Canis lupus familiaris: one gene and its partners. Each later gene encodes a partner of the first gene's protein in a complex. Links are inferred from orthologs where the notes say so. Each region holds a gene or a part of one and is shown in the gene's direction. Other genes may lie near its edges.

Evidence for each region.
Region 2: SF3B5 (region 1) and PPIL2 share a complex: the UniProt entries of both Homo sapiens proteins name them as parts of the minor spliceosome. The link is inferred for Canis lupus familiaris from reciprocal best matches to the Homo sapiens genes SF3B5 and PPIL2.
Region 3: SF3B5 (region 1) and SRRM1 share a complex: the UniProt entries of both Homo sapiens proteins name them as parts of the minor spliceosome. The link is inferred for Canis lupus familiaris from reciprocal best matches to the Homo sapiens genes SF3B5 and SRRM1.
Region 4: SF3B5 (region 1) and RBMX2 share a complex: the UniProt entries of both Homo sapiens proteins name them as parts of the minor spliceosome. The link is inferred for Canis lupus familiaris from reciprocal best matches to the Homo sapiens genes SF3B5 and RBMX2.
Region 5: SF3B5 (region 1) and small nuclear ribonucleoprotein E-like share a complex: the UniProt entries of both Homo sapiens proteins name them as parts of the minor spliceosome. The link is inferred for Canis lupus familiaris from reciprocal best matches to the Homo sapiens genes SF3B5 and SNRPE.
Region 6: SF3B5 (region 1) and SNRPD2 share a complex: the UniProt entries of both Homo sapiens proteins name them as parts of the minor spliceosome. The link is inferred for Canis lupus familiaris from reciprocal best matches to the Homo sapiens genes SF3B5 and SNRPD2.
Region 7: SF3B5 (region 1) and SF3A1 share a complex: the UniProt entries of both Homo sapiens proteins name them as parts of the 17S U2 SnRNP complex. The link is inferred for Canis lupus familiaris from reciprocal best matches to the Homo sapiens genes SF3B5 and SF3A1.

The regions. Positions count from the first base shown.
Region 1 is NC_049222.1:35,794,490-35,797,776, reverse strand, and holds SF3B5 (splicing factor 3B subunit 5), read left to right. Parts: upstream 1-1,565; 5' UTR 1,566-1,699; coding exon 1,700-1,960; 3' UTR 1,961-2,310; downstream 2,311-3,287. UniProt on the Homo sapiens protein: Component of the 17S U2 SnRNP complex of the spliceosome, a large ribonucleoprotein complex that removes introns from transcribed pre-mRNAs.
Region 2 is NC_049247.1:31,106,837-31,111,729, forward strand, and holds the start of PPIL2 (RING-type E3 ubiquitin-protein ligase PPIL2), read left to right. Parts: upstream 1-1,545; 5' UTR 1,546-1,675; coding exon 1,676-1,707; intron 1,708-2,644; coding exon 2,645-2,694; intron 2,695-3,517; coding exon 3,518-3,563; intron 3,564-4,893. UniProt on the Homo sapiens protein: Has a ubiquitin-protein ligase activity acting as an E3 ubiquitin protein ligase or as an ubiquitin-ubiquitin ligase promoting elongation of ubiquitin chains on substrates.
Region 3 is NC_049223.1:74,413,428-74,417,777, reverse strand, and holds the end of SRRM1 (serine/arginine repetitive matrix protein 1), read left to right. Parts: intron 1-1,726; coding exon 1,727-1,936; intron 1,937-2,458; coding exon 2,459-2,563; 3' UTR 2,564-3,490; downstream 3,491-4,350. UniProt on the Homo sapiens protein: Part of pre- and post-splicing multiprotein mRNP complexes. As a component of the minor spliceosome, involved in the splicing of U12-type introns in pre-mRNAs. Involved in numerous pre-mRNA processing events.
Region 4 is NC_049260.1:102,441,535-102,446,305, forward strand, and holds the end of RBMX2 (RNA-binding motif protein, X-linked 2), read left to right. Parts: intron 1-45; coding exon 46-223; intron 224-682; coding exon 683-1,227; 3' UTR 1,228-3,824; downstream 3,825-4,771. UniProt on the Homo sapiens protein: Involved in pre-mRNA splicing as component of the activated spliceosome. As a component of the minor spliceosome, involved in the splicing of U12-type introns in pre-mRNAs.
Region 5 is NC_049222.1:93,812,619-93,815,684, forward strand, and holds small nuclear ribonucleoprotein E-like, read left to right. Parts: upstream 1-1,826; 5' UTR 1,827-1,845; coding exon 1,846-2,124; 3' UTR 2,125-2,286; downstream 2,287-3,066. UniProt on the Homo sapiens protein: Plays a role in pre-mRNA splicing as a core component of the spliceosomal U1, U2, U4 and U5 small nuclear ribonucleoproteins (snRNPs), the building blocks of the spliceosome.
Region 6 is NC_049222.1:110,601,762-110,606,551, forward strand, and holds the start of SNRPD2 (small nuclear ribonucleoprotein Sm D2), read left to right. Parts: upstream 1-1,814; 5' UTR 1,815-1,863; coding exon 1,864-1,865; intron 1,866-3,615; coding exon 3,616-3,795; intron 3,796-4,790. Other genes in the region: QPCTL (glutaminyl-peptide cyclotransferase-like protein), read right to left, coding at 198-341, 841-1,116. UniProt on the Homo sapiens protein: Plays a role in pre-mRNA splicing as a core component of the spliceosomal U1, U2, U4 and U5 small nuclear ribonucleoproteins (snRNPs), the building blocks of the spliceosome.
Region 7 is NC_049247.1:23,910,033-23,915,172, reverse strand, and holds the start of SF3A1 (splicing factor 3A subunit 1), read left to right. Parts: upstream 1-2,087; coding exon 2,088-2,150; exon of another isoform or gene 2,151-2,198; intron 2,199-4,794; coding exon 4,795-4,916; intron 4,917-5,140. UniProt on the Homo sapiens protein: Component of the 17S U2 SnRNP complex of the spliceosome, a large ribonucleoprotein complex that removes introns from transcribed pre-mRNAs.

The DNA.
Region 1 (3,287 bases):
ATGGCAAAATGGTAAGCTCTGATATATCTGGACAGTGAATCCTCAGGTATATCTTATAACAGTCTCCACATTTTAGGAATGAAATGTTATATAACATGGTTTAAACCAAAGAATAAGACTTTTATTTTTCCATTTTTGGTACAGGCATTTGTTCCCATAAAGAATGCTTTTTGTCATTTTCTTTCCTTTAAATATTTTTTTTTTTTTAGAAAATAAAAATTGCTTATGTTTTAGGTTTGCAACATGATTTAATGGATATGCATAATGAAATGATCGCTACAGTTGAGCTAATCAACACGTCCTGAAATCCACTCTCTTGGCAAATTTCTAATATTCAATACAGGATTAACTTCAATCATCATGCTGTGTGTACATTAGATCTCTAGACTTACTCATCTGTACCTAACTGCAGAACAGAACTATTTTAAAGTCATCTTTCTCCCACTAAAGAGTCCCTTCTATTTGCTGCCACAGTTGTTCATCCATTCATCAAACGTTTTTTGAGAATGCGAGCTCTACCAGGCCAAGTATCGCAAGTGTGGTTATCACAAAAAAGATGCCACAAAAGAAGCTATGATAAATGATGGCATCAAAAAAGTATACGCTACTTTCCCCCAAGTAGTTTGAATTCACACGAGGGAGTTCTCAGAAAAAAAAAAAAAAAAAAAGAACCCAAAGCGTAGGCTATAAGGCGATCATAATGAAGCGATGTACAGGAGACTTTACGTCTGTCTGGTGTGGCCAAAGCCGATTTCAAGGAGATGCTTTTGAGCTGACTTAAAGAGAGAAGTTGTTTGCCAAGGGAACAAAAGCATTCCAAGCGGAGGGAACATCTAGTACAAAGAACTGGAGAGGCGAGCGGCACGGAATGCTGAGACACACAGGCTGGGGTGCGTAGGGTGGGGCGAGCAGCTGGAGGCAGGACATCAAATGAAGCAGCTGGAGCGCCGGGGGGCGGGGGGGGGCGGGGGGGGCGGGGCTCGGTGTGGGAGCCCGAACGTGTCGGCGCCCGAACGTGTCGGCGCCCGTAGGGTCCTCGGGCACCGGGCGGGAAACGGCGGCCCCGCCAGCGCTGAAGGAAGACGCACAGCTGGGAGCCGCAGTCGCGTCGACCGATTCTCAGGGTGACCCACCCCGGGCCGTGACGGGGCCCACCACGCCGCCACATTCGCTCCGAAACCAAAGTTACACCGAGGTTACTCTCACGGCGGCCTGTGGCAGCTCCCCATTTCTTCGCAGCTCCCAGCCGCCCAGGGATGCTCCCCGCCTCCCCGACACGACGCTCCACCAGGCGCCGGCGGGCTCTTAAACCGCGACGACCGCCCAGGGAGGCGGGCGCGCACGAACCCTCGGCGACCGCAGCTCCCGGCATGCAACGCTCCGCGCTAGAGCAAGGGCCACTGAATGAACCATGATGCAACGCTCTACGGAGGGGGCGGAGCTCTCCATGGCGGGGGCGGGGGGTGGGCGGCCGACTGGTAGCGTCGCCTAGGCAACTCCAATTCCCTGACGGAATACACTTCCGCTTCCTCCTCTGAGCGCTAGGACCGCGAGTCCTCGCGGCTCCGTGGCTGTGACGTCATTCTCCTGCGACTGAGCCGGCCGGGAGGTGCCGTGTCGTGGGCTCTCTCCCGCGTGGAAGTCTAGAGCAGCTTCTCCTCTGCGGCGTCTGACCTGGGCGCGAAGGGAAAGCGGCGAGATGACTGACCGCTACACTATCCACAGCCAGCTGGAGCACCTGCAGTCCAAGTACATCGGCACGGGCCACGCCGACACCACCAAGTGGGAGTGGCTGGTAAACCAGCACCGCGACTCCTACTGCTCCTACATGGGCCACTTCGACCTTCTCAACTACTTCGCCATTGCGGAGAATGAGAGCAAAGCGCGAGTCCGCTTCAACTTGATGGAGAAGATGCTGCAGCCTTGCGGACCGCCAGCCGACAAGCCGGAGGAGAACTGACACCCCCGTCTCGTCACTGCCACGCGGGAGCGTGTCCCGAGTTCCTCCCGTTTGCCGTTTCTCCCGCGTGTTCCTGCCCCGAAGTGGACCGGTTCTCCATTGCTCCTGTTTCTCGCGCCTTCCTCGTGCACAAGTGCTTAGCTGAGGCCGTCCCGCCTGACCTGCTTTCCTGTGGACCCTTAGGAACAGCGTTGGGAGACTGTCAGGACCCGTGAGAACTGAGACGGTGGAGAGGTCCTAAACCAGCAAGAGAGGGGGGAAGGAACTGGGATCAGACGGGATTTGGAGGCTCTTTTTTGGCTAGTTGATTGTCGTTTCTTTTTCCATAAAGTCTAGAAGTTTTTCAATCACTTGGTGTGGACCACTTGCGTTTGAGTGGAAGGGGGTCCAAGGAGGGCTTTGGGGACTTTAGTTTCTTGGGAGACCGAAGAGGCGGGAGATGGATGGGTGGAGGAGTTGAGCACAGGGCCAGCGTTCATTGGCATACAGTTAAATCCGCCTTGCACGATCTTTATAATATTCCCCAACCCAGACTTCTCCCAAGAGCTTTTTTCAGGCCCATAATGCCTTCAGGACTGAGGATTAAGGTTTATGATCACTGTATCCCTCTTTCATGTTCTTGCATTCAGAAAAATCTTTACTAGCATTGCCCACTCCTCTATGTAAGTTGCATCGTCTCTTTCTCTTGGGATTCTGGACACATCCTGAAAAACGACAGGCTGTCAGACGAGTTCTTTCATTCATTCGGCATTCAACAAATACTTGTTGAGTCAGTTCTATGTGGTGGGCATTTTGCCTCGCTTTTGGAGCTTATGTTATACTTGGGGGGGCACACAAATTGTAGGCATAAACAAGTTTATTAGGTGTTGTGCAGGATGGGAGTAGCAGTACGTTTGCACTTTCAAACAAGATGCTTATGTTAGACTATAGAGATGGTTACACTTGAGCAAGACTAAGGAAGGGAGGGAAATAGTCACACAGAAAACAGGGAATTGCTTTCCAGGCAGAGGGAACTGCTAGTGCAATGGTGGTAATACTGAAATTATCTGGCTTTTTGGAGGAACATCAAAGAGGCAAATGTGGCTGGAGGGAGTGAGCAAGGGGAGGAGTAGAGGGATGGGTGATGGAGGAGGAACAGGTAAGAGTAGAGCCTGCTAGGCCAGTGCAAGAACTTGTGACTTTATCCTGAGGGGAATGAGGAGCCATTGGGACTAATGGTTTTAAGTAATGTGAGCTGACATATTTTAGATCAGTAATTCTCAAACCTTTTGGCCTTGGGACTTCATTACGTTCTTAAAAATTCTTGAATACCACAGAGTCTGTTAAT
Region 2 (4,893 bases), on another chromosome or scaffold:
ACCCTGAGATCATGACCTGAGTGGCAGCTGGACACTTAACTGAGCCACCCAGGCGCCCCAACCACAGCACTTTGAAATGAGTGATGAGACTGCTGTCCTCCCCTACAGTGACTCTGTGGCCCCTTTGGGGCCTCAACTGACCGCACTGAGTTGCAAGTCTATTAGTTTTTCCTAGCTTAGGCCCCTAAACCAGGCCTTATCCAGGTGTGGGTGTAGAAAGAGTGATCTGTTCCCTCCCTTATTTTCCAATAAGCTGGTATGTTAGGTATGTTAGGGTTTTTTGTTTTTGTTTGTTTGGTTTTTTTTTTTTTTTTTTTTGGATTTATTTATTTGAGAGAGCACAGAGGGAGAGGGAGAAGCAGATTCCCTGCCTAGCAGGAAGCTGGATGCAGGGCTCAATCCTGGGACCCCAGGATCATGACCTGGGCCAAAGGCAGACGCTTAACTGACTGAGCCACCCAGGTGCTCCTGGTGTGTTAGTTTTCAACTAACAACCCTAGGGCACCCCCCTATGGAATTTCAGAGATGGGACCCATCTTACACACCAGCTATAGAATCAAACCTGCGTGTGAGAGGAGTCCTCACAAAATGCTTGATGACTGCTGGACAGTAGCAGATATTTGTTGAACCTCTGTGTATGCCCCACACCTTGCTTGGGAGATAATAAACCAAATGGTTGGGGTCCTTACTCTTAAGGAGCTTCCATCCTATCCTTGTGGATGTGTATCTAACCAGTGCACAGATCAAATTAGTAACAGGGTTAGAAGTTGTGGTAAGTCCAATGGGAGCTGAGTATGCAGACACGTATGCGTAGGTTGTCTGTCAGTGAAGGTCCCTCTGAGGAGGTGACATTTATATCGAAATCTAGAATATGAGGAGGCAGCTATGAGATGAGAAAGGGCAAGGACCACTGGCTTTGGGTGACTGGCTAGTGGTACAGTTGAGGAAACGGCGGGGGGGGGGGGGGGGGCTGTGAATGGGGTAAGGAGAATGCTATTTTGACCAGACATGTTAAATTTGAGATCTGTGGTACCTAAGTAGAGGCCAGGGGTCTGGAAGTGTGGACGTTTAGTGATAAGAATCAAGGGATACAAGTGGTATTTAAAGCCAGGAGCCTGGGCGAGATCACCCAGTGATCTAGGGCTCAGGCCTGGGCACACGGACACAGCGATCTGGTGGAGGGAAGGGTCCTTAGGAAGACACGGAAGAGAGCCGCGAGGGCGCTGGACCTTCAGGGCCACGTGCCCCCGAGCCGCCAAGGCGAGGGGCCCGGAGGCGGTGGGGGCTGGACGGGCGGGGATGCTGGGCACGCAAGGAAGCAGAGATGAGGCCGAGACTGGTGGGACTCGCGGTGCCAGGCCTGAGAGGCCGGGGCGGGCTCGAGCAGGGACGGACGGGGCCGCGGCTGGTGCGCACGTGGAGGGGTCCCGAGCCCGCCTCCCGCGGCCACCTGACCAGGACCCGAGCCCCAGGACCCACCGCACCCCGTGCCCATGCGCACTCGGCTCCAGACGCCGCGCTTCCGGTCCGCCCTGCGCCCGCTTCCGGGGCGGGGCCGCGGGACCCGGAAGTAATTAGGGAGCTCGGCGGACAAGTCGGAGTCTGAGTTGTTGACAGCCGTTTCTCTGCCCTCGCTGGTCCTGGCGCTGCCAGCGCCGCCGCCGCCGCCGCCGTCATGGGGAAGCGACAGCATCAGAAGGACAAGATGTGAGTTGAGCCGCTGGGCCTCCGTGCCCGCCCGGCCCGCCCCCCAGCTGGTTCCCAGAGCCACGCTCCGATGCCGCTGGGTCCGCAAAGCCTCCGCCCCCTCCCCGGTGGGCAGTGACCCCCCCCGGGCGCCGAGGTCTCCGGCTGCCGGTTCTGACCCGTCGTAGGTGCCCTCCTCCGAGCGCGGCCTTCCCGCCCGGTCTGCACTCGCGAGCGCGGCTCCTCAGTCAGCCCTTTGCCTTCTTGTGTCTCTTGAAATCACTCCAGGCAGGCTTTTCTCCCAAGGCCAACTCTTGTCAGAATCCCAGTAACTTACCTGTTGCTAAGTCTAGTGGTCAGCTCTCAATTCTCATTTTGTTGGGCTTCTCAACAGCATGTGACACAGTGACCACCTCGATCCTCCTGAAGCCCTTCTTCGGCATGTGGGACACCTTATGCTCTTGATTTTCCTTCTGCCTCAGCGGCCACTGTCTTCTCAGGCCCCTTCGCTGGATCCTTCTCCCTCTCCCACAGACTTGGTACATCCATGTCCTCCACGTTTTTTTCTCCTTTACATTCTCCCTTGTGGTATCCCCTCTTGGAGTAGTCAGCTGCTTACTCGGCATCTCCAGTTGGAGGTCTGATATCTCAAATTTATTTTTTATGAAGATTTTATTTATTTATTCATGAGACACACACACACAGAGGCAGAGACACAGGCAGAGGGAGAAGCGGACTCCATGCAGAGAGCCCGATGCGGGAACCGACCCCGGGTCTCCAGGATCACACCCCGGGCGGAGGTGGCGCTAAACCGCTGAGCCACCTGGGCTGCCCCATAGTAGGTGTTTAATAAGCATTTGCTGAATGAGTGAAATGATTGAGTCATCAGTTACTTCCAGAGACTCTGTTCTCTTTATAAAGGGAGATGGTAGTAAGATTCTCTCTCTCTCTTCTTCAGGTATATTACCTGTGCTGAATACACTCACTTCTATGGTGGCAAGAAACCAGGTAAGGCATGCAATCCTTCTGTTTTCCTTGGTGTGGATGTGTGTCATGGGGGAGGTTGTAATTAAGGGCGCTATCTTCACTAGACAATGAGACTGTAAAAATTAACAATGAGCAAGAACACAGAAAGTGTAGCAGATGGATGCGTTTAGAACGCAGATAATTTGCAAAGGAGAAATTCACTAAACATATCCAAGAAAAATGCTTAATCCTCTTGGTGGCGATTTTTTTTTTTTTTTAACAGAGCACGCGAGATCGAGCGAGGGCAGAGGGAGGGAGAATCTCAAGCTGACTCCATGCTGATGTGGAGCTCAATCTCATGACCCTGAGACCATGACCTCAGCTGAAATTAAGAGTCAGCTTAACCAACTGAGCCACCTAGGCACCCCAGTGATGATATTTTTGGACGTAGATTAAAATAACCTTCTTTCTTCTGTCAGGTTAATAAAAAATAAAAAGAATGATAATACCCAAAGCTGTCAAGGCTCCAGTAAAAAGAGTAAAAATTATTATACACTCAATAATTGCTGATGGAGGTAAAACCAACATAGTTGTCTTTGAAAGCCAAGCAAGGCCCTAAGCAGGGGTGTGAGGGTTGTGGGAGAAACCCAGCCGCAGTGGCTTAAGCAAGTATGTACTTTGGCCTCTAAGTTCTTTCTTGATGTCCTCCACGTGTTCTACCTATTAAAAGGTTTTTAAGCCACAGCAGTTTTTGCACTAGGTAATTTACACGAAGTTTTTCTTAACATGGTATTGAATTGTTGGTAGGAACACCTACATAAAGTTATTTATAGAATAAACTTTGTTTTATTTTCATCTTAAACAGATATCCCACAAGCAAATTTTCGTCGTTTACCTTTTGATCACTGCAGGTAAGAGTTGTTAGTGTTCATCTGTTCCTCTGAGCTGTTCTCTGATACTCATGATTTGACAGTGAATCTGATCCTTGGGGGATGCAGATGTGGTTTCTTTTTTTAAATTTTTAAAAAAAGATTTTATTTATTCATTCATGAGAGACACACAGAGAGAGAGGCAGAGACACAGGCAGAGAGAGAAGCAGGTTCCATGCAGGGAGCCCAATGCGAGACTTGATCCTGGAACCCCAGGATCATGCCCCAGGCTGAAGGGATGTGCCCAACCTGAGCCATCCAGGGGTCCCCAGATGTGGTTTCTACCTGTGTTCCCCCACCTAGATCTTCCTTAAACTGAGAGAAAGTGACCTCACAATGATAAGAACTAATACTTAGTGTGCTCATTCTTTGTATATTTATGCATTGTTTATTTTCTCCTCTTTCTTACCTTCCAAGGTCAGTAGACTCTGCTGTTAAGCCTATTTTAACTTGAGAGGATCAGTGTTTAGAAGTGGGAAGTCCTTCACCCAGGTGTCACATCCAGGAAGTGATGCCATTGAGGTTGGACTCCAGGCCCATGTCTTTCATGCTTTACTTTTAATACAGAGTCTAAGTAATAGCATTGATAATCAGTCATGATACTGTGAGCCCCTCCCCCCTTCCCTGGGAACACAGGTTACTGGTGGGGATGGGGAGAGACCCAGCTGCAGAGCCACTGAGATGCTTCCTCCCGCCGTGGCTGGTATGTGTATGAACAGAATGGGTCTGCTGGAGAAGTGGGGCTAGGATTAATGAACCTCAAGACATTGGAGGTTTGGGGATGGTCCGTTTGGGCCTGAGTTTCCCCAAACTCAAGCTTGATCATCCCTGTTGGACACCTACACCATGTGTGTGTGTCCCATTGGGTTCTGATTCCATAGATGACGATGAGCCTTGAGACCTGATAGAGCTCTCCTAGTGATCTCAGCCAGACCCCACAGGGCGGTAAGGGTATAGGAAGGGCCAGGGTAGCAGCTACTCGATTTGCCCCAGGAGACTCCCATGTAGCCCTGAATCAGGGCTTTTCCCTATTCATGGCACTTGCTCAGGGAGGGTCAGCAGGTGAGACCCAGGCATCATTGGCTAGATTTCTCCCCACCAAGTTTTGTCATCAGCCTCATGGGAATGTGATCTCATTCAGAGTGGGGATGAATGGAATTTTATTTTTTTAAGATTTATTTATTCATAGAGACAGAGAGAGGGAGAGGCAGAGACACAGGCAGAGGGAGAAGCAGGCTCCACGCAGGGAGCCCGACATGGGACTCGATCCCGGGTCTCCAGGATCACACCCTGGACTGAAGGCGGTGCTAAA
Region 3 (4,350 bases), on another chromosome or scaffold:
TATAAAAAATGAACCTGGCAACCTGTAAAATACTAGCTGAAGTGGAAAGTACAGTATTGTCTGGTTTAGTCTTAACCTCTGGCAAGTTGCATAAATAAGGGACACCTGGTGGCTCAGCGGTTGAGCACCTGCCTTCGGCCCAGGGTGTGCTTCCAGAGTCCAGGGAGCGAGTCCCACATCGGGCTCCCGGCATGGAGCCTGCTTCTCCCTCTGCCTGTGTCTCTGCCTCTCTCTGTGTGTCTCTCTCATGAATAAATAAATAAAATCTTTAATTAAAAAAAAAGTTGCATAAATAAGAATAACACTTGTTTTTACCTTGTGAAGTTTAAATGTCATTGGGATATTAAAGTATTGGAGTTTAAACTATATCATCCCCTCTATGAATCATTAATCTGATCTTGAATAGGTTTCTTTATTGTATGAAGTCAGTAGTTAGATGTCCATGTCAGCAGTCGGGTTGCCTGAATTACTTTACAAAGTAATTGAATGGATTGAGGAATTTTAAGTAACTGCTTACAAATGTGAAATTTGAGAATTACAGATGGAATTCAATTACAGCAGAATTGCCCTTTGCATAATTTTGGCGTTAACAGTTGGACCCTTGAATAGCATTGAGCGGGGCCACTTACACATGGAAATTTTTGGTGAATACAGTACAGCATTGTAAATGTGTTTTTTCTTCCTTATACTTTTTTTTTCCTTATACTTAATGTTTTTTTCTGCAGTTTATTTTATTGTAAGAATATAGCATAAAATGTACATAACGCACAAAATATGTGTTCAGTGACTGTTTATGTTACCCATAAGGCTTCTGGTCTATGTACAGACTGAGGGCTTGTTATATACAGGTTTTCAACTGCATGGAGAGTTGTTGCCTCTAATCCCCCATGTTGTTCAACGGTCAGTGGTTATGCATTAAGGAACAATTTCCAGTCTAGAGCCAGGAGAAGCTGTAACAGTGGCTGGAGAATGGGGCATTCACATGAGTGTGTGTTTAGAATAATAACTGTACTTACTGAAAGCCTGCCACCTGTTAGGCTAGTATTGTGGGCAGTTTACAGATAGACCCTGACAGCTTTATTGGGGACTGCTGTACCCATTTAGGTTTACAGAGGGAGCTTAGAAAAATATTTGAGGTCAAATGGTGAACAGGTTCAGGAGCCAGATTCACCTGAAGTCTAGCTGAGTTCAGAGACTTCTCTTTTGCACATGTTGCTTTCCCTATATTTGGAGGTAGCTTGGGATCCTGGACACCTGACTGGCCTCTCATGGTTGGGAAATTTGGTTTAATGTGGGGGAGATCAGAAAGGTCCTTCAGGGTCCATTCTGACTTTTTTTTTTTTTTTTTAACTTTTATTTATTTATGAGAGAGAGAGAGAGAGAGAGAGGCAAAGACATAGGCAGAGGGAGAAGCAGGCTCCACGCAAGGAGCCCAGTGTGGGACTTGATCCCAGATCCCAGGATCACATCCTGAGCCAAAGGCAGACGCTTCACCACTGAGCCACCCAGGCATCTTAAAATCTTAAAATCTGGGAAGAGCATCTTTACTTGCAATGTGGTTTTCATACTTTTCTTGGCAGGGATTGCCCTTGGGCTCCCCCTCCCCCAAAGCCTTGGGGACTCCTGAGATTTGTCCATTTAATTATTCCCTTGAGAAAGTAAAACGTTTATTGGACAACATTTTAATCTGATTGATGTTATTGTTGGGATTTTTCTGGATTTCTAGAACTCAGACCCAGAAGGAGGTGGAAAGAAAAAGAAGAAAAAGAAGGACAAGAAACACAAAAAGGATAAGAAGCACAAGAAGCACAAAAAACACAAGAAGGAAAAGGCCATGGCAGCAGCCGCTGCAGCAGCTGTCACTCCCACGGCCCCTGCGGCCCCCACGACCACATCAGCACAGGAGGAACCGGAGGCAGAGCCCGAGCCTAAGAAGGTACGTGTGTGTCTTAGACTTCTACAGATCGCTTGGTCACTTGTTGAGAAGAAAAGAATTTTTTTACAATAATGGCTACTCGGCTGTTAGCTAACTCTTCTGATCTATCCTCATTCTTGATATCTACCAAGACGAAGGAGAAGAATATGAATGGCTGCCAAATGCTTACTGTATATTTTTAAAAAATAACTTCTTTAAGATATAATTAACGTGCCATTCACCTATTAAAAGGCACTCAAGGGTGCCTGGCTGGCTCAGTAGAGCACACAACTCTTAACCTCAGGGTTTCAGGGTTGTGAGTTCAAGCCCTGTGTTGGGTATAGAGTACTTAAGTAAAGTAAATTTAAAAAGAAAGTATATGATTGAGGGGTTTTTAGTATATTCATAGAGTTGTGCAGCTGATTGAGGGGGTTTTAGTGTATTAGAGTTGTGCAGTCACTGCCATGATGTGGTTCTGCCCTTGCACCCTACACCTCTCTGCCAGTGTGTCAGGACTCACCAGTGTGGCCCCTCTGGTTTTAGGAAACGGAGAGTGAGCCTGAAGACAACCTCGACGACTTAGAGAAGCACCTGCGTGAAAAGGCGCTGAGGTCGATGCGGAAGGCTCAAGTGTCCCCACAGTCTTAGGCGGGAATGTGTGTCACGATGTACATTTTATTTGGTTTGTATGCAATTCAATTTCAAAATTGCTAAAATGTGTTTGAGCTTTAGACTATAACATTTGTTGTAATAATTGCTAGGTTGAAGTTCACCATGTAAAAAAAAAAGGGGCATGGATTTACATTGCAAAAGGTGTCCACAGTGTATTAGTGACATTCTTTCATTGACAGCTGACATAAATTCATTTAGAGTGAAATATTTTAAGCCAAAAAAAAAATCCTCTTTTTAAAAAAGGGGGTTTCAATATTGTTGGCATTTTTATGGTTTCTTTAAAGGCCTTGGCTATTCCCAGAGGTTTTCCTTTCTTGTCATTTTTTTTTTCTTTATTTTTTTCTCATTTGAGTCTTAGCACCCATTTAAGTTATGATGCTTCCAACCTTGTATGGTTTGCAAGCTTGCCCAGAAATAAGACCACTGTTGAACTACCACAAAGTATAAATGAATATTTTAATGCCACAATCTTTCCTGTTGCCTGTGGAGTCTCTGCTGAAATGAATCAGGATTCGAGCTCTAGGACGAGATGGAAAATGAAAGCATGTTGTTTGCCAGGACACTGTGGGTTTATATTGATGTGTAACAAGTTGATTTGGAACACTGGAATTCATTCTATTCTGTTGTGTTTTTTTGTAAAGGCAATTAACTAGTCCCAGGAAGGATCCTTCAGTTATATAAAAGTTTGTTTTATGAAATGTCATGGCTCCATTCATAATTTTGTCTTGTTCTTCCAATTGGTATATACAACTTTCAGAGCTCTCGTATTTGGAAGGCTGGAAGGGCCCAGACTTTGAAATAGTGTCTTGTTTTCACTGTTTTTGTTTTTTTGTTTTTTTTTTTTTTAAACTAAAGCTATATAAAGCTTGTGGATTAAACAGAATAAATTTCTAAATTTAAAAATGTTGGCCACTCACTTTTACTTAACCGTCTCAATACTGCAGGAACCCACCTTTTTTTTTTTTTTTAATAGAAATCTTAGTTAAGCCTATGTTTTTACCCCCCTTGGCACCTTTGGCACACTGAGGATTGGGCAAGGGAAATAAATGGTGAAATTATTTTTCCGTCTTTATTTTAATAATGAGTGCAGTAAGTGCTGTGAAGGCAAAGTGTGTGGTGAGATGGGAACACCTATGCTAGACAGGGCAAAGTCAGCGAGGCGCTCCAACAGAGTAGTATCTGCGTACAGCTGGAGAGGCAGAAGGAGCCTGGCACATTCCAGGAAGTGCAGGAGGGCCAAAGGAGTGACTGGAGCAACCTCCCTCTTGGGGTCTGTGTATTTAGTGACAAGTGAGTCATTTTTGCACTTCAGATTTAGCAGAGCAAAGTGACTTGAAACTTGGAGTTGGTTTGTAGAAGGTAAACTAGCAACATAACGAAGTTAGAAGGGAATTTTTGACACCGTGGATCTAAGCTGAGTGACACATGGGCAGTTAATGTGATTGATTTCTGGTAGTCGAAACTAAAAGAAAATGTCTACACATCTTAACTATAGGAAGACTTAGTGGGGACAGTGTTTACCTGAAGGACATGGACATAGAAGGGGCTCTTTTTACAGGTGGGTTTTTAGGATGATTTGTAAGGCGGCAAAACTTAAATGAAGCTGCTCTGTAGTGAACTAAGGTAGTCTGTAATTGGTAACAGCACCTTACCTGTGTGCTGCAACCAAGTCTTCAAGATCTTACATGTGACTTCCTTTTGATTGCATAATTCTGTGATTCAAGAAAAGCACAGTATATCCAGTTTCTAAAATGGTGGTTGAT
Region 4 (4,771 bases), on another chromosome or scaffold:
CAGAAGTAGGGCCCTCTCTGCTGAAGCATTGCCTGTCTGTCTTAGATCAAAGGAAGAACTATCCGAGTGGATCATGTGTCTAACTATCGGGCTCCTAAGGACTCAGAAGAAATGGATGATGTGACCAAAGAGCTCCAAGAGAAGGGCTGTGGGGCTCACACCCCCTCCGTGAGTTCATCCGAGGGTTCCGAAGATGACAAACCCCCAAAAAAATACAAAAAAGGTAAAGCACTAAGACCTGAGAGAAGATTCTGGGTAGTCTTAGTGTTTGCTCCTCCTAGTATTCACTGAGAATTGGTAATCAGTTATTAGGTGTGAAAAGGAAGGGTGTGGGGAACCGTATAGTAATTGGGAAAGGAGAGGTATCAGTGGAAGACTAATATCATGGGCTGAATTCTGTTTCCCAGTTCATATGTTGGAGTCCTAATCCCTCGAGACCTTAGAATGTGACTGTATTTGGAGGTCGGGTCTTTAGAAAGGTAATTTGGGGATGAGGATTGCCTTATCCAGTGACTTGACCTGTCAAGGGGGACAGTTGTCAAAGTTGACTTCTCACAGATGCTTTTCTGGAAGTATAGATTATGAGTGCTTCCCAATGCTACCAGTAGTGCTTTCCTTTGGCATACCCTCCCCCCTTCCCCCTCTTCCTTTCCTTATTGGTTGTGCCCCTTTTTCCCTCCAGACAAAAAGGAGAAAAAGAGAAGAAAGAAAGACAAAGAGAACACTGACCAGGAAGTACAGACAGAGCATCCAGTCTCCTCTTCATCCCCCAGAAACCAGATGGAAAAGGAAAAGGATGACCCTGGCTCTAAAAAGCACAGCACCAAGAACCCAGAGAGGGGTCAGAAGTCAGAACCCAGAGAGGTGCGCAAGCACCACCACAGCTCTCCCGAGGTCAAGACCACCTGCCGCAGCAGAGCAGAGGACAGAGAGAGGGAGCCGAGGAAGGAGAAGCCCAGGCACGAACGTAGGTCCTCAAGCAGGAGGGAGGAAAGAGAAGAAAAGAACAGAGAGAGAGAGAGACAGAGAGAAAGAGAGAGAGACAGAGACAGAGACAGAGCCAGAGGCCGAAGCTCAGACAGGCATTCCAGCCGGCACAATGGGCGTTCTGAGGGGCATAGCCGGAGAGGTAGAAGCAGGAGCCGAGAGAGATCGCACAGGCGTAAGAGGGCCCGGCACTCGCGTGACCGGGACTCCTCCAACCCCAGTGACCGCAGGCACCACTGAAGCTGTGGCCTGTTTGACAGTCTACTAGTACTGGAAATGGACTTGATCTTGAAAATGCAGTCATACTCAATTACACTTTTACTGTGAGGTAAATCTCTGGGCTAAATTCTTCCAATCCCTTGAGTATGAGAGTCATCGAGAGCTGTAGTCTTAACAGCCACATATCCTATACTTTTGACAAAATCCATTGTTCCTGGGAACATGCTCAGGACTTAAATTTGGTTTCGTAAATATGGCCCTTGAATTTACGACCCCAGTTTATGACATAATTGCCAGGAAAGGGGAAATACCAGGCAATCTAGGGATTCTAGTCTTTGTGCTAGATGTTTAGGTGGCAAGCCAGTTGGCAGGTACAGCCATAGAATAGAGGAGTGTGGTTTAACTAGATCTGGACAGCTTGATGGGAAGGGGATAGTGATTCTTAACACCAGCCCCCTCTCTCTGCCCCCTGCCCTCCTTTAAAAAAATTTTTAAACATCTGTTTTTCAATGTCCATGCACCGCCTCACTATTTATTTATTTATTTATTTATTTTGATCGAGGTGAAATTCACATAACATCAGATTAACCATTTCAAAGGGAACAATCCAGTGGCCTTTGGTATCTTCACAGTGTTGTAAAACCACCACTCCTGTGTAGTTCTAAAACATTTCCATCACTCCAGAATGAAACACTGTGCCCATTAAGCAGTTACTCTCCATTCCCCCCTCCTCGTCTCTGTCAGCCACCAATCTGCTTTTCATTCCTATTGGAACTACCCATTCTGCACATTTTATGCAAGTGGAATTGTACAATATATGGCCTTTTGTGTCTGGTGTCTTTCACTTAGTATATTTTTGAGGTTCATCCATTATTGCGGCATGGATCAGTACTTTGTTCCTTTTTATGGCTATCCATGGCATGGATAGACCACATTTTGTTTATCCATTCCTTGGTGGATGGACATTTGGATTGTTTCTACCTTTTGGCTAGCCAGCTGTTTCCACATTTCAGACAGGCCAGGCCACTTTTGGGTCATTTCCTTTTCAAGTAGCTGTTCTTGCTGAGATGGGAACACTTTGTCAGCTTCATTGCGTATCTCTCTGGTCGCCTTGGCAGGTTTTTTTTTTTTTTTTCTCATTTTGAGAACCTTGTCCTTTTAGTTTTTCAGTCAGTCCCTTATTGAGTTAGGTAGGAATTAGTTTGCAGGACCATAACACCGCTGCTGAATTACTAAGCTTGCACTTCTGACCCTTCAAAACAAAGGAACAGAGCTTTAATAGTGAACACATTTAATTAGTTTACTTGGTATGTTAGTTTGGGTCCAAGATTAGATGTGCAAGAGATTTTGTTTTTAGGAGAAAATGCCCATGAAAGAAAATGGGAAAGGAGGCTGGAGAAGTCCGGAAAAGCAGTCCGACTCTGATAGAAGTCTAACCTCTGGAGAAGAGGGAAAGCAAGAAGGAAGGTTGGGTAGGAAAAAGGCTTAAACTGCTATGGAGTTGTGAGAATGTTTGAGCAAGACCAATAAAATGGGAGCCAAAGCACCTGTCAGAAGATTCCCACTAGATCAGCTTTGGTAAGCAGAAGTCCTTGCTCTTGGGCCATGGCACTCTCTTTATGTGTCCATCATCCCAGTTGTGTAGTAGCCACTGACAAAAGGCCTATGCACCTCAGTCATTTTGTCTGCCTGGCAGTTTAGTGCTTCTTCTGTGGTGGATGCTCTGATGAATGTTAGCATGTGATACAAAAGTATTCACACTTTGCCTTATCTCTCACATGTCAGTCCACAGTTTTTACACCATACCTCCTTGTCTCTGATTTTTACCTCTTGTCCTTCCAGTCTCTCAACTGGATGGCCAGGCCACTGGCCACTGCCCAGGAGTCTGTGTATACCCAATTAAGAGTCTCACATTATGCCTCTTCTTTTACACCAAGTCAGGTGTACTACGTTAGATCCCATTCATTGGAAGATGTTTCCTTCTCCACCCCTGAATGTGGCAGTAAGGCAGATACCATTCATCATCACTATGTGCCCACATACTGAACGAACCCACATAAAAACCAAGCTCAAGCTGTTTTCTGCCTCAGCTGGTCATACATACAGGGACCCCCATTTGGCTAGAGGTGCAAAGATAGAGGGGCTACCATTCTTTGCATCTTCTAGGTTTTTAATAGTAGCACTGATTTACTCTGGCTCCACTGAGATGTAATATTGTTTTGATTTATGTATCAATTAGGGTTTTACCGGGAAAATAACCAGTAGGATATGTATATCTTGCTGTAAGCCAATTCCTAATGAGAAAACATGCAGGCATACCTCATTTTATTATGCTTTGCTTAATTGTGTTTCACAGATAAACTGTGGTTGTTTTTGTTTTGTTTTTTTGTTTTTTGTTTTTCAAAGTAAGGGTTTGTGGCAACCCTGTGTGAAACAAGTCTCTGTCATTTTCCAACAGCATTTTCTTCGTTTCTCTGTCAGATTTTGATAATCACAACATTTCAAACTTTTTCATTATTATTACATTTGTTACGGTGATCTGTGATTGATGGTTATGATTTACTGAAAGCTCAGATATTGGTTAGCATTTTTTTAGCAATAAAGTATTTTTAAATTAAGATATGTTCATTGTTTTTTTTTTACATACAATGCTATTACATACTTAGTAAACTATAGTGTAAACATAAATTTATATGCACTGGGAAATGAAAAGATACATGTGACTTGCTTTATTGTGATACTTGCTTTATTGTGGTCTGGAACTAAACCCCCAATAGCTCTGAGGTATGCCTGTGTGTGTATGTGTGTATGTGTATGGCAAGGAATTGAATTATACAGTTGTGTGGACTGGTTAGGCAAATCTGAAATTTATAGGGCGGGACAGCAGGCTGGAAACGCTTGGGCAGTAGCTGATACTGCAGTCCATAGGCAGAATTTCTTCAGGGAAATCATAGTTTTGCTATTAGGTTCTTCAACTGATTAGATAAGGCCCACCCTGATTATCAAGGATAATCTCTTGAAAATCAACTGATGGTAGATGTTAATCACATCTATGAAATACTTGCATAGCAACACCTATATTGTTGTTTGATTGACTAGTTGGGTACTATAGCCTGAGCCAAGTTGATACAGATAAGTAACCAGTCAATGTATTCTTGTCCAAGGTGGAGGAGAACAGTTTTAGAGGTTTCCACTTGACTTTCCTCACTGTGACAGCTCCTGCCCTAAAAGCCAGGGACCCCTGTGGGGAATACTCTTTAAGTACCAACTCAATTCCAGTTACATACTTGAGGAGTGGGAAATGACCACTAGGTCAATCTGCAGGCCCCCTGTGAGTCTTGTTTGAGGCCAAGACTTCAGTGATTACTCAGCCCTGGAGCCCCCAGCCCCCTATTTAGGGCCATGATCATGCTTCAGGTGTCTAGGTATCAATGTTAACTTTGATCTTGAGTCCAGTATTCCTTGAGTGTCTGGCTGTCTCCCCAGTGTACAGACACTGATATAAGTGACTATAGGTCCCATTAGGGGAGGTCCTGGGGCATATATGTCATTGTTCTTCCTTTTA
Region 5 (3,066 bases), about 58 Mb from region 1:
TTTGTAATTATGATGTGGCTTCAAGATTGGCAACTGGTGCCTTGAAAATTCTGCTGTGTTTATCACCTGCTGATCATCCACTTCTCTGTCACTTTCACAGTCAATGAAGATGGTTTAAGATTGTCTATAAAACAAGACTCAAGTTCCTTATCCCTCACCCCCGACCCAAAGGCTCTGAAACAAGCACACAGATGTTTTCAAATTTTATCAGTGTTTTTACTGCTAACAATGACAGGAAAAGAGAGTAAATATCATAATCAGTGGGTCTCTATGAATCATAAAAAATATTTATTTATTTATTTTTATTTATTTTTTATTGGTGTTCAATTTACCAACATACAGAATAACCCCCAGTGCCCGTCACCCATTCACTCCCACCCCCCTGCCCTCCTCCCCTTCTACCACCCCTAGTTCGTTTCCCAGAGTTAGCAGTCTTTATGTTCTGTCTCCCTTTCTGATATTTCCCACACATTTCTTCTCCCTTCCCTTATATTCCCTTTCACTATTATTTATATTCCCCACATGAATGAGAACATATAATGTTTGTCCTTCTCCGACTAACTTACTTCACTCAGCCATAAAAAATATTTAAAAGCACTACTTGTAGTTATCCCTAGTCATCATCTCAATGTTATTGGGACTCAGATCACCATCTTATAGTTCAATATCCCAATCTTCTTCTTTTTTTAAAAAAGATTCCAATAAATAAATAAATAAATTAATTAATTAATTAAAAAAAAGATTCCATTCATTTATTCATGAGAGACACAGGAAGAGAGAGGCAGAGACACAGGCTGAGGGAGAAGCAGGCTCCATGCAGGGAGCCTGATGAGGGACTCGATCCCAGGTCTCCAGGATCACACCCTGGGCCGAAGGCAGGTGCTAAACTGCTGAGCCACCCAGGGATCCCCAATATCCCTATTTTCTTAGATGTTCCCTTGAGGAAGGGGATCTGCATGTCTTAGAGGTGCTGGACTAGTGCCCTGTGAGTTTCTTGGAACTCTGAAAGTCTATAATCTCTACCAACTCCTCAGTTACTGCCTTTCATGATATGTTTAACTAATCAGGAAAGGGACAAGGAGCATAGACTGCAGGAGCCAGACAGACTAGTGTATTAATTTTCTGTAGCTGGGTAACAAATAACCATACACTTAGTGGCTTGAACACATACTCATTATCTCACGGTTTCTGTGGGCAGGCATTTAGGGATGGCCAAGCTTGGTGCTATGCTACAGGGCCACACAAGATTGTAATGAAGGTGTCAGCCAGGACAGAGTTCTCATCTGCAGGAGCCAATTCTACATAGGGACTATAATAACTTGGATGTGTAGATTTATGTATTTCATCAAATTTGGAAAGATCTGCTCACTATGTTTTCAAATATTCTTTCTGCCCCTTTCTCTTTCTTCTCTTATTCTGCAGCTCCAATCAGGTGTATGTAGGTACACAGGAAGGCATCCCATACATTTTTGTTTGTTTCTTAAGTTTCTCAAAGAGTGATCCTTAAGCCAGAAGCATTGACACCACCTCAGAAGTTGTTAGAAATATAAATTCTGGGGCACCTGGGTGGCTCAGTCAGTTGAGCATCTGATTCTTGGTTTTGGTTCAGGTCATGTTCTTGCAATCATGAAATTAAGTAAGCCCTGTGTTGGGGCTCCATGCTCAGTGGGGAGTCTGCTTTAGATTCTTTCTCCCTCTCCCTCCCACTCATGTGTTCTCTCTCTCTCAAATAAATAAATAAACAAATAAACAAATAAATAAATAAATCCTAAAAAAAAAAAAGAAATGTAAATTCTTAGGCCTTGTTGCAGATGTATTAAAGAAACTCTGGGGTCCGCTTCCACCATGGCGTACCGTGGCCAGGGCCAGAAAGTGCAGAAGGTGATGGTTCAGCCCATCAACCTCATCTTCAGATACTTGCAAAATAGATCTCGGATTCAGGTGTGGCTTTATGAGCAAATAAACATGCGGATAGAGGGCTGTATCATTGGTTTTGATGAGTACATGAGCCTTGTATTAGACGATGCCAAAGAGATTCATTCTAAAACAAAGTCAAGAAAACAACTGGGTCGGATCATGCTAAAAGGAGATAATATTACCCTGCTCCAAAGTGTCTCCAACTAGAATGAATGATCAGTGAAGTGAGAAATTCTTGAGAAGGCCACGTAGTTTGTTTTTTTAGATGTCCTTTGTTGGGAATATAGTTCTAAAACCCTTGTTCATATTGTTTTGATTACCTTTATGTTCTTACCAGAGGACAATAAATGCTGTGGGATTGTTTTTATTAAAAAAAAAAAAAAAAGAAAAAAAAAGAAACTCTGGGGATGAGGCCCAACAATCTGTGTGTGTGTGTGTGTGTGTGTGTGTGTACGTGCATGCGTGCATGTGTGTGTGTTTTAATTGAAGTTGATACACAATGTTATAGTAGTTTTAGGTGTACAACATAGTATTTGACAAGTCTACATATTATGCTATACTTACCGAAAGTGTAACTACCATCTGCCACCACACAACCCAATTACAATATCATTGATTGTATTCCCTACCCTGTACTTTTCATTCCCTTGACTTATTCATTCCATAACAAGAAGTCTGTACTTCTTACTCCCTTTTACCCATTTTGCCCATCCCCCTAAACCCCCTTTGACAACCACCAGTTTGTTCTCTGTATCTATGAGTCTGTTTCTGTTTTGTTTGTTCCTTCATTTTGTTTTTTTAGTTCCACACATAAGTGAAATCATATAGTATTTGTCTTTTTCTGTCTGAGTTGTTTCGTTCAGCATAATACCCTCTAGGGCCATCCACGTTATTGCAAATGGCAAGATCTCATTCTTTTTTATGGATAATAGTCCATTGTGCTGATGCATCATGGACCTCTACCTCTGAAACCAATAATACATTACATATTAATTAATAGAATTTAAATAAAAAATTTAAAAAAATAGCAAAAAAGGAAAAAGTAAACACTGAAGATACAATGATAAGATACTTTATTTATTTAATTTTTGAAAGAGAGAGAATGTGAATGGGGGAGGAGTGGAGGGAGAGGGAGAGAATCTCTAGGAA
Region 6 (4,790 bases), about 75 Mb from region 1:
GATCCTGGGGTCCGAGGATCGAGCCCCAGCATCGGATTCCCCGCAGGGAGCCTGCTTCTCCCTCTGCCCATGTCTCTGTGTCTCTCATGAGAAAACAAATACAATCTTAAAAAAAAAAAAAAAAAAAAAAAAAAGAATGCCTAGTTCCAATACCCTGGCAGGCTGCTGGGTCAGAGGTGGGAGGTGGAGCCCTTTACCTTTCTGACTTGGAGATTGCCGGGGCTGCCCGGGGTCCGCACAACCAGCAGGGGGCGCAGATAAGTGTTCCAGAGACGGTGTGGGTCCAGTTGCCCCACCACCCGCCGCAGCCGGGCTTCGGAGAGGCTTCCGATCAAGCGGCCCTTAGGAGGAGGGAGCAAGGAGAGGGAAGAGAAGAACCGAACGTGAGGGCAACCCCCATTCCAACCCTAACCCGGACGCCATCGCACCTAAGAAGCCCCGGTTCTTCTTCCTAATTCGAACCTCCAGCATCGGAGGTTTCCAGAAGAAATCCTAGGCTAAGGAAAGTCCCTCTAAACCCACCAGGTCCAGCCCACCTCAATCCTGATGGGGAAATCGAGGCCGAGAGAGAGGAAGGGACTCTTCCAAATAGCTGACTTTCAGATTGGAACCCAGAATTCCCAGTGTTACTACTGCAGACTCTCCCTCTTAGGTAGAACCACCTATTACAGAACAAGCCCAAAGCCTCAGTTCGTTAGCAACGGGCATGCGCTCTATCGACGGAGACCGCAGCACCTGCAGCTTGGGCCAGACGACACAGCCACGTCAACCTGAGACCTCAGGGAAGGGGAGGCGGGGAATGAGGGCTCCCGCGGTGCCCGTGCCCCTGCCGGGCCTCACCCGCAGCTCCCGGCCCCGCGGCAGCTCCTCAGTCTGGTGGTGCCAGCCGCTCCAGATGGTGTAGGTCGCCGAAGCCAGGGCCAGGGCCAGCAGAAGCAGAGGCAAGAAGTGCGCCCGCGGGAGCAGGCGGCGCTTGGGCGGGGAGGGCGGCTCCAAGAGGCCACGTTCCCCGAGCCGTAGCCGGGACCGCCCGCGGCCCCCGGAAGGCATGGCAGCTTCGCCCCGAAACCGGTCCCGGACCGCGGATAGTTTAGGCCCAGCCAAATCCCACCCCATGGAATCACCGAACCAATAAACACGAAGAGCGGCTGCACCATCCCACCCACCCTCGGTCAGTGAAACCAATGGCGACCCTCACTCTGAGAACACGCCTTCCTGTCTCCCTGGGGCTTTGGGGTTGGTTCCCCTGAGGGTTGCACAACCCAAAAGGGTAGTGCGAAAGGGAGAGGCTCCGCCTCAACGGAGGAACGGAAGCCAATGAGCAATGTTTGATCCTGAAAAACGTTGGACCAAGGAGCAGGTCTCCGCCCCTCCCGTAGGAAGGCAAAGGATTGGTTACTCGAAGTCGGAAAGATCAATAGACACGTAAACGAACCGACACCGATGGAAAAGGGGCGGTGCCCGTCCCAGAAGCGAGGAGCCGATTGGCTACACGGAGGCCGCGCCCCCGAGGGCGGAGCCGGCGGGCTTTTGGAATGCCGTGTCCTGTCCCTTCTTCAGCTTGTGCCGCTCTACAACGAAACGATTTGAGTCGGACCCGCTTTATTCTTCTCTCCATTGTCTTCTCTCCATATGGTCCTGAAAGACCCTGAGCTACTACGCAGTGCTTCTACCCCACGTCTGCGCGGGGCCGGCGCGGATTGCCACGGCAACAGGCCTCGCCCACACCGTGCAGGTTGGGATTGCGCAGGCGCCGACGGAAGTCGGCCACAGGAAACGGAAGTCCCGCCTGTAGCCCTCTCTTCAGAGGCAGGAGCAACGCGGGGAAGACGGAGCTGATCTGCGAGCGCAGCCGCTACCACCATGTGAGGCCCGGCGGGAGTGGGGTCGAGGGCGTAGATGTGGCCGTTTGCCGGTGGTGGGCGAGGCGGGATCGGAGGCAGAGGTTTTAGGGGTAAAGTACGCACCGTTCTGACGAGTTTGAGGATGGGCATGGGGCCTTTTACGGGTCCTGAGTTCGAGGGAAGGCACTTGATCAGTTAATGAGCCGGGATTTCCCCGATAATGAGTCTCGCTGAAATGGATTTTAAGGGGAAGCAAAGAACCTGGGAAACGGGAGTGCGGAGTTTTAGAAATAACGGTTTGAGGTACGGGACTTACCCGGACAATTTGAGCTGGAGAAGTTCACCTCATTCGCGACTTTTTCGGCTCACGAATCGCCTTAATGATTTTCCTGATTTGGTATTCATTCAGCAATTATTTATTGAGCACTCATGTATTAGGCACTGCTTTAACTACGTGAGATACATCAGTGACTGCGACCCCCATCCCGCAAGAAAAATGCCCTGCTGCAGCTTATGGGTGTGGGAAAAGGCAGACAATGAACACACCGGTGATAAAAATGTAAAGTGTATGGCGTGTGTTAGGTGATCAGAGCTAAGTGAGTAAAGAAGCAAAAGAGCAGGATCCAAACAATGGGGAGTACTAGTTTTGAGAGAAAGTAACTCAATAACCAGTGCAGGACACATTGAGAAGGCAGCAGTTGAGCAGAGACCTGAAGAACCTGAGAACCACAAAGATACCTGGGGAGGTATCCAGGCAGAGGGAAAACGAAGGGAGATGCCCAAGGTGAAAGTCTGTCTAATATCTTATATATTTTTTAAAGATTTTATTTACTTGTGAGAGACACAGAGAAGCAGTATCCCCACAGGGAGCCCGATGTGGGACTCGATCCCAGCATCCCTGGGTCAGGATCTTTTTTTTTTTTTTTTTTTAAGATTTTATTTATTTATTCATGATAGACATAGGGGGAGAGAGAGGCAGAGACTCAGGCAGAGGGAGAAGCAGGCTCCATGCAGGGAGCCCGATGTGGGACTTGATCCCGGGACTCCAGGATCGTGCCCTGGGCCAAAGGCAGACGCTAAACCGCTGAGCCACCCAGGGATTCCCCCTGGGTCAGGATCTGAGCCGAAAGCAGATGCTCAGCCATTGAGCTACCCAGGCGCCCCTTGCCTAATATCTTAAAGGACCACCTTCAAGGCCACTGGCTGGAACAGAGAAGGATGGGAAGATGCCAGGCATTGTAAAAACTTTGGGTTTTACTTTTTACACAGAGATGGGAGCCATGGGAGGGTTTCGAAGAGTGAAATGATATGACTTAGATTTTGATACAACCTCTGGGACTGCTGTGGAGAACAGACGGTCAGCGGCATGGGCTGAGGTAGGGAGACAAGTAAGGCTCTCAGGAGAGAGATGATAGAGGTTTAGGCCATGGTAAGAAACAGATTCTGGGTATATTTTAGAGGCAGATGACAGAATTTGCTGACATTGAATGTAGGATGTGAGAGAGAAGAGTCAAGTTGATATCAGGGTTTCTGCTCAAGGAACTAGAATGATGGAGATGAGGAAGGCTGTGGAAAGAGTAGGTTTGAGTGATTGGGAGATCTGGAGCTCAACTGAGGATGTATACGGTTGGAAATGTCTATTCAGCATCCAGCTGGTGATGCCATGCAAGAGGGACTGAGCAGGGGGGTGGGTGGGTTGGGGAGACATCATGTGACCACCCACGCTCTAGCTCTGGGCCTCTCACCTACGGGTTCCATGCTTGCCCCTCAGGAGCCTCCTCAACAAACCCAAGAGTGAGATGACCCCAGAGGAGCTACAGAAGCGGGAGGAGGAAGAGTTTAACACGGGTCCGCTCTCTGTGCTCACACAGTCAGTCAAGAACAACACCCAGGTGCTTATCAACTGCCGCAACAACAAGAAGCTCCTGGGCCGTGTGAAGGCTTTCGACAGGTAAGCACCTGGGTCCTGGAAGGTGTTCTGTCTTGGAAATGCAGACACAGTTCCAGTGTGAGGAACCCAAATACAAGGTTTTCAGAGTCCTGGGGCATAAGCATATTCAGACCTCAAAGTGCAATGGTGTCTTGTTGTCCTTCCAGCTGTGCAGTACAGTAGTGATGGGCATGTACTTGGGAGCCAGGCTTCCTGGGTTTGTGTCTCGACTCTGCCTCTTAGCAGCCATGAAACCTTCAACAAGTAACTTTATCTCTTCCATTCAATGGCAGTAATTCTGGTGATTGCAGAGATTCAGTGACTTAATACATGTGATGTGTAATACAGTCATTAGAAGTACAGCATCTGGCACCAGGAAGCTCTTATTAATCAGGTTTTGCAGTTACGATATAAAGTACCATGCCCCAAAAGAAAAAAATAAAGTACCATGCCCAGTACTTTTTTTAGGCTCCAGAGACACAGCAATGACTGAAAGAGGACTCCTATACTTAAGAGAGCTTATGCCATAGGTAGGGAAACCAACAGCAAGCACACAAACAATGTGTCATAAGAATAGTAAAGGCAGGTGAGAGTGTGGAGTGCTGGGAAGGAGGTGTTGTCCTAGACGGTAACGCTAGGGGTTCCATAGGAAGAGACCGTGATGAACAGACCTAAATACAATGAAGGAGGAAGCCAGGGTCTGAGTGTTTCAGCCAGAGGGAACAGCAAGTGTTATTTCCTCTCTCGGCCTCAGTGTCCTTGTCTGCAAACTGTGCGTCATAAAAATACCCCTCATAGAACAGTTGTGAGGATTAAATATTTCTGTAGGAAGGGTACTTGGCTCAGTAGCTAACATGATAAATGCTCAATAAACATAAAACCTGCAGCCTTCAGTTAGCATTTGGGAAGTGGTATGGCGAAGTGTAAGTCTAGAATGTTTTTGCCACGAGCTGTTACATGACCATGAATAAGTCTTTTCACTTGGAGCCTCGGTTTCTTCTCAAGGAGAATAAGAG
Region 7 (5,140 bases), on another chromosome or scaffold:
GTCTTGAGTGGAACCCCTCAGCTTGAAGCTGCCAGCCCCGCATTGACTATTCCGCATTGACTATTTCTGAGATCATACAGGTGATGGCACTAACTGGGTGGACTTCGCCCTCTCCTCAGTTACCTCATGCTCATGGTAGACTTTTGACTTGAAGAGAAGGGAAGGAGCCTTTTCTCTACTCCCATTCAACATGCAAGCCCCTTCGTTCATTGAGTCATAGGACTCAATGGACCAGTCATAGGACCCCGCTGGTAAAGATTATGCCTACCTCCTGGTCAATGCCCCTCCTGAGATTCAAGGTAACAACCATGAAAACATTTTGAAAACTCTGAAATTATCTATATATCCCAGTTGTCAGCCTCTGACTCAGGACTGCTAATTGCCTGGATCCCTAGGGACAATGAAGGGACTTGGTGAAGACAAAGGAATAAGCCGCGGCACTGAGAGAGGAGTAAGAATGGCCTGGGTTTGGATTCCCACGCCACTAACTCTGAACTTCACTCTCCTCATCTGTAAATAAACTGCTGTAAGAAATTAGTGATGTACTGCGTGTAGTGTTTGGTGCAATAGCTGTCCATGATAAACTTACGTTCAATAAAACCTAGTTATAAATAAAATCTTAAAAGAAAAAAAAAGGATCCCTGTGTGGTTCAGCGGTTTAGCGCCTGCCTTTGGCCCAGGGCTTGATCCTGGAGTCCTGGGATCCATTCCCACATCAGGCTCCCTGCATGGAGCCTGCTTCTCCCTCTGCCTGTGTCCCTGCCTCTCTCTCTCTCTCTGTGTGTCTCTCATGAATAAATAAATAAAATATTTAAACAAACAAAAAACCCCACAATAAGTCCTAGCTATCATTATCATTCTACATTAATAATAACAACGACAAGGCAGCCGGGGTGGCACAGCGGTTTAGCGCCGCCTTCAGCCCAGGGTGTGATCCTGGAGACCAGGGATCGAGTCCCACATCGGGCTCCCTGCATGGAGCCTGCTTCTCCCTCTGCCTGTGTCTCTGCCTCTCTTTCTCTCTGTGTCTCTCATGAATAAATAAAATAAAATAAAATAAAATAAAATAAAATCTTTAAAAAAAATAACGACATAAACCAGCTACGGAGTGTGTGCTTGTGAGAAAGAGAGATGGGGTAAGACATTTGGTAGGGCATCTTTTCCTATCCCGTTTCCATTTCGCAAGTAAAGAAATTGTTAAACTATCCAAGCAAAGGCTAAAAGTCGACCCGCGGTCCGGAGCTGGGATGGAGAGGAGAGGGGACGAGGTGGACCGGATCTCAGGAAAGGAAATGGAAAGAGCGGGATTCGAGGTGAGCTCGGTAAAACTAAGGAAGTGGTCAGGAGGAACGCACCTTTGGGAGTGAGGGACGGAGCTTAAAGAAGTCTTGATTCGAGACGGTCCACGGGGCTTGAGGGCGGGACCATGGAAGGCAGAGGGTGGAACCTTGAAAGGCAGTCCCACGGGAAGAGAAACCAGTGGGAATTTGATTTCGGGACTTGGGAAGGGAGTCTGAAGGAAGAAGGCATGAAGCGAAACCGGCTGAGGAAGGAGGCGGGGCCTTGAGGAGGCAGGTTGGAGGGGAAGGGGTTCTCCAAAATGACAAGCCAATGGGAGGGAGCGGAAGGCCCTTGAAGGCGGGGTCGGAGGGAGAGAAGAACCCACCTTTAAAGTAAAGGAGAGGGGGGGCCAGGGCCGTGGGGTGCGTGCGGAGAGCGTCCGGTGGGTGATGTAGAACGTCTCCCCAGGATCCTGCGTCGCAGCCTCAGCCCCTGTGGTCTGGTCGGCTCATGGAACTGCCCCCCGACGCGCCTAGGGCTCCGGGGAACCCCCACAAATCCTAGCTGGGTGCCTCGATCGCTGCCATGGCAACGGCGTCTCGCGCTGATCACTCCAGGGCGGGAGCAGGAAGTTGCATCATGAATAAGGGGCGGTCCCGGAAGTGCGTCAGCTCCTCCTCCTTGGCGTCGAGTCTCTCGGACGCCGCCATCTTGCGAGCTTGTTGTATCGTCCGTGCGGGGAGCTGCTTTGACGCAGCACCGCTCACCTTCAGCGAGGCGGACTGGCAGCCCTGAGCGTCGCAGTCATGCCGGCCGGACCCGTGCAGGCGGTGCCCCCGCCGCCGCCCGCGGCCACCGAGCCCAAACAGGTACCGCGACCCCCACACCTCGACCGGCAGCCCTATCCTCGGCTTGGGCCCTCCCCTCCAGCGCGGGCACTCCTCACTAAGGCAGAGGAAGAAGCGGCCGCTTACGAGGGCTTGGAGGACTACAAGTCCCAGGAGGCCGCGCGCTTCCCGCTCTGCGCGGCCTTCGGTAACGAAAGCGCCCTTGGAAGTGTGGTCCACGGACCAACAGCATCAACATTGCCCGGGAGTTCATTAGAAATGCTAGACCTAAATATTAATACATTTTTAATAAGATCTCAAGGTGATTGATTAAAGTTTGAGAAACACTGATTATGCCCATTCGCAGGTTTTCTGTGGTTATTGGGCCCACCTTTGGCCCTCCTCACCCTCGCCTTTCCCGCCGGCTTTTGCCCAGCAGTCCTTAATTTCGCATCCTGTACGGTACAGTTTAGACAGTTCACAGCATCTGCTTGGTGCTTACTCTAAGCCAAACACCGTACCATGCTCCGGCTTACCCAGAATGAATGAAGCACAACTAGTGTAGGCAGCTCATGGTTCTAGTGGGGAGGCAGATATAAGATGAATATTCTACAAATGTTTATTTTTTCGATCACCGTAAATGATACAGTCAGCACTTATTAGCTGAGAGGGAAAAGGGTGTGTAAATAATTGCAGTACTGTGTGATAGGCACTTTTAGTATCAGGTACAAAAGAAACAAAGCAACATTTCTTTGATGGAGTGTAGGGGAAATTAAAGTAGGTGAAGCCTACATGAGTGACAGGTAAATGGCTTTTAGAAGGATGAATTAGTAGTTTGCCAGACAGGTGATTGGAAAAGGTTAATGGCATCCTTTATTCATTAAGCAAACATTTATTCAATACATGCTATATGGTGACCACTGCTTTGGGTTTAGAATACAGCAGAGTACATGATAGAAGAGGTCTGTACCCTTACCACAAGTATTTTAAATATATCTGTATTCCTGGCATTTCCCAAGTCACTTGGGGAAAAGTAAACAAAGTAATACCAGATAATTGCAAAGACATCAGGGTAGGAATCAGATGATGTCTCTGGTAAAGAGTAAATTAAAAAGTGTGATTGAAACATAGGATTGGGAGAGTGGTGGCAAAAGATGCATTTGGGGGCATTTGAACTTTCCTAGTAGATAGTGGGGAGAAAGGGAAGAGTTTGGAGCTGGTTAATGACATGTTTGTGTTTCAGAAATTCAGGTAGGCAGGTAGTGATGAGAATTGCTAGGAGCACAGTTTACTCAAAAGATGCTGAGAGGTGGTTTGGGGGGGCAGACTGGATGGGCAAGCTCAAGTCACAATATGGCTGGTGGTACAGACTCTGCAACTAAAGTGATGGAATCCAACTAAAGTTTTGGAATCCTGGTCTTCCATTTGGGCCAGTTAAGCTTTATGTTCCTCAGTTCTTTCATCTGTAAAATGGGGGGGAATAAGAGTATTCACATGAAAGGGCTCTCATAAAGGCTATAGCGTTAATTTATTTAAAGTTCTTAGAAAAGTATATGGAACCTACTGCGTGCTTGATAAATGTTATCGTTGAATGTGGAGGCTGAGGAAGGGAAAGGAGGCCCATGTTTCTGCCCTGGATGACAGTATATTGTTGGCCAGTTATGAGAAAAGTGGTTAGAGAGGAAAGTGCCTGGGAGTCAGCTGGATCTGGAGTTCTGTGGCACACAAGAGTGATCGGGGACATCAATTTGTGTGTGATTGTTCAGCCTAGAAGTGGTAGGGGAAGTGAAGGACCCATGGTTGGAGTGCCTGAGGACAGTGTGAATACTGTGGAGAATAGAATTTTGGGGAACTCTAATATAGGGCAGGAGGTGAAACAGGAGCCAGGAAGGAAACTCGGATGGAATGGTGAGCAAGAAGGCAAAACACATGAGAATGGGGCCTGGGATTTGAGTGGAGAGGTTTGTGAGGGAATGGTCATGGTCACATGACCAGATAGATGACTGCTGTAGTTGGCTGTAGGCAGTCATATTTGACCAAATTTGGCAAGAGCACTTGAAATGGATGGGAACCAAACAGGAGCTGAGGAAATAGGTAGGAATGGCAAGACAGAGAACTCAGGAAATTTAGCTATCAGAGGAAGAGGAGGAGAGGACAGCCACAGAAAAGAATATGAGGGCAGGGAACTGCTATTTTTTAAGATGAGAGACTGACCCTTTGTTTACTAAGGGAAAGAAACTGGTGAAGAAAGAATATTGGAATTTACAGGATAGTTGATGTATATTCCAGTAGGGTTTCACAAAACATTTGAGCATTGAGTGGTAAAGACTGGAATAGATGCAGAGGAAAACGACATAAGGAGCTGCCAGCAAAGAATCGCCTATCTTTATTCAGCAGTCATTATCTGGACTCTTGGTACAAATGCAGATTCTCAGTGTCACTGAGACCAGCTAGCAGCAGGAAGCCAAGGAGGCTGCTCTCTTCACTGGTTCCCTGCGAGAGTTCCATGCAAGTGCTGTACAATTAAGAGAACTGCTTTTCTGGAGCAATGGGTCCTAACTCAAGAAAAGTTCGTAAGAGAGAGTCTATACTGGCAATAAATTTTAGAGGAGGTTGACAGTAGGGATCCAGTCCCCCAGATCAGGAGTGTCGAGACATCATTTTCCTTTCCTTTTGTTTTTCACAGCCCACAGAAGAAGAAGCTTCTTCAAAGGAGGATTCTACCCCCTCCAAGCCAGTGGTGGGAATTATTTATCCTCCTCCGGAGGTCAGGAATATCGTTGACAAGACTGCCAGCTTTGTGGCCAGGTAACATAGCTGCTTCTGCATTGTCCCCTGGGTCCGGTAGCTTATCTAACCCCACAGCGGTCATGAGGTAGGCAGTGGGCAAGATTGGCGTCTCCAGGACAACATGGCCATGGCAGAATGTGAGTCACGCCATCCCCAGGTCGCCAGGAGCCAATGCTTCCAAAGTAGGCCTGAGGAAGTGCCTGGAAAGCTGTCATGGATAATGTGTGTGTGTGTCTGAGCTG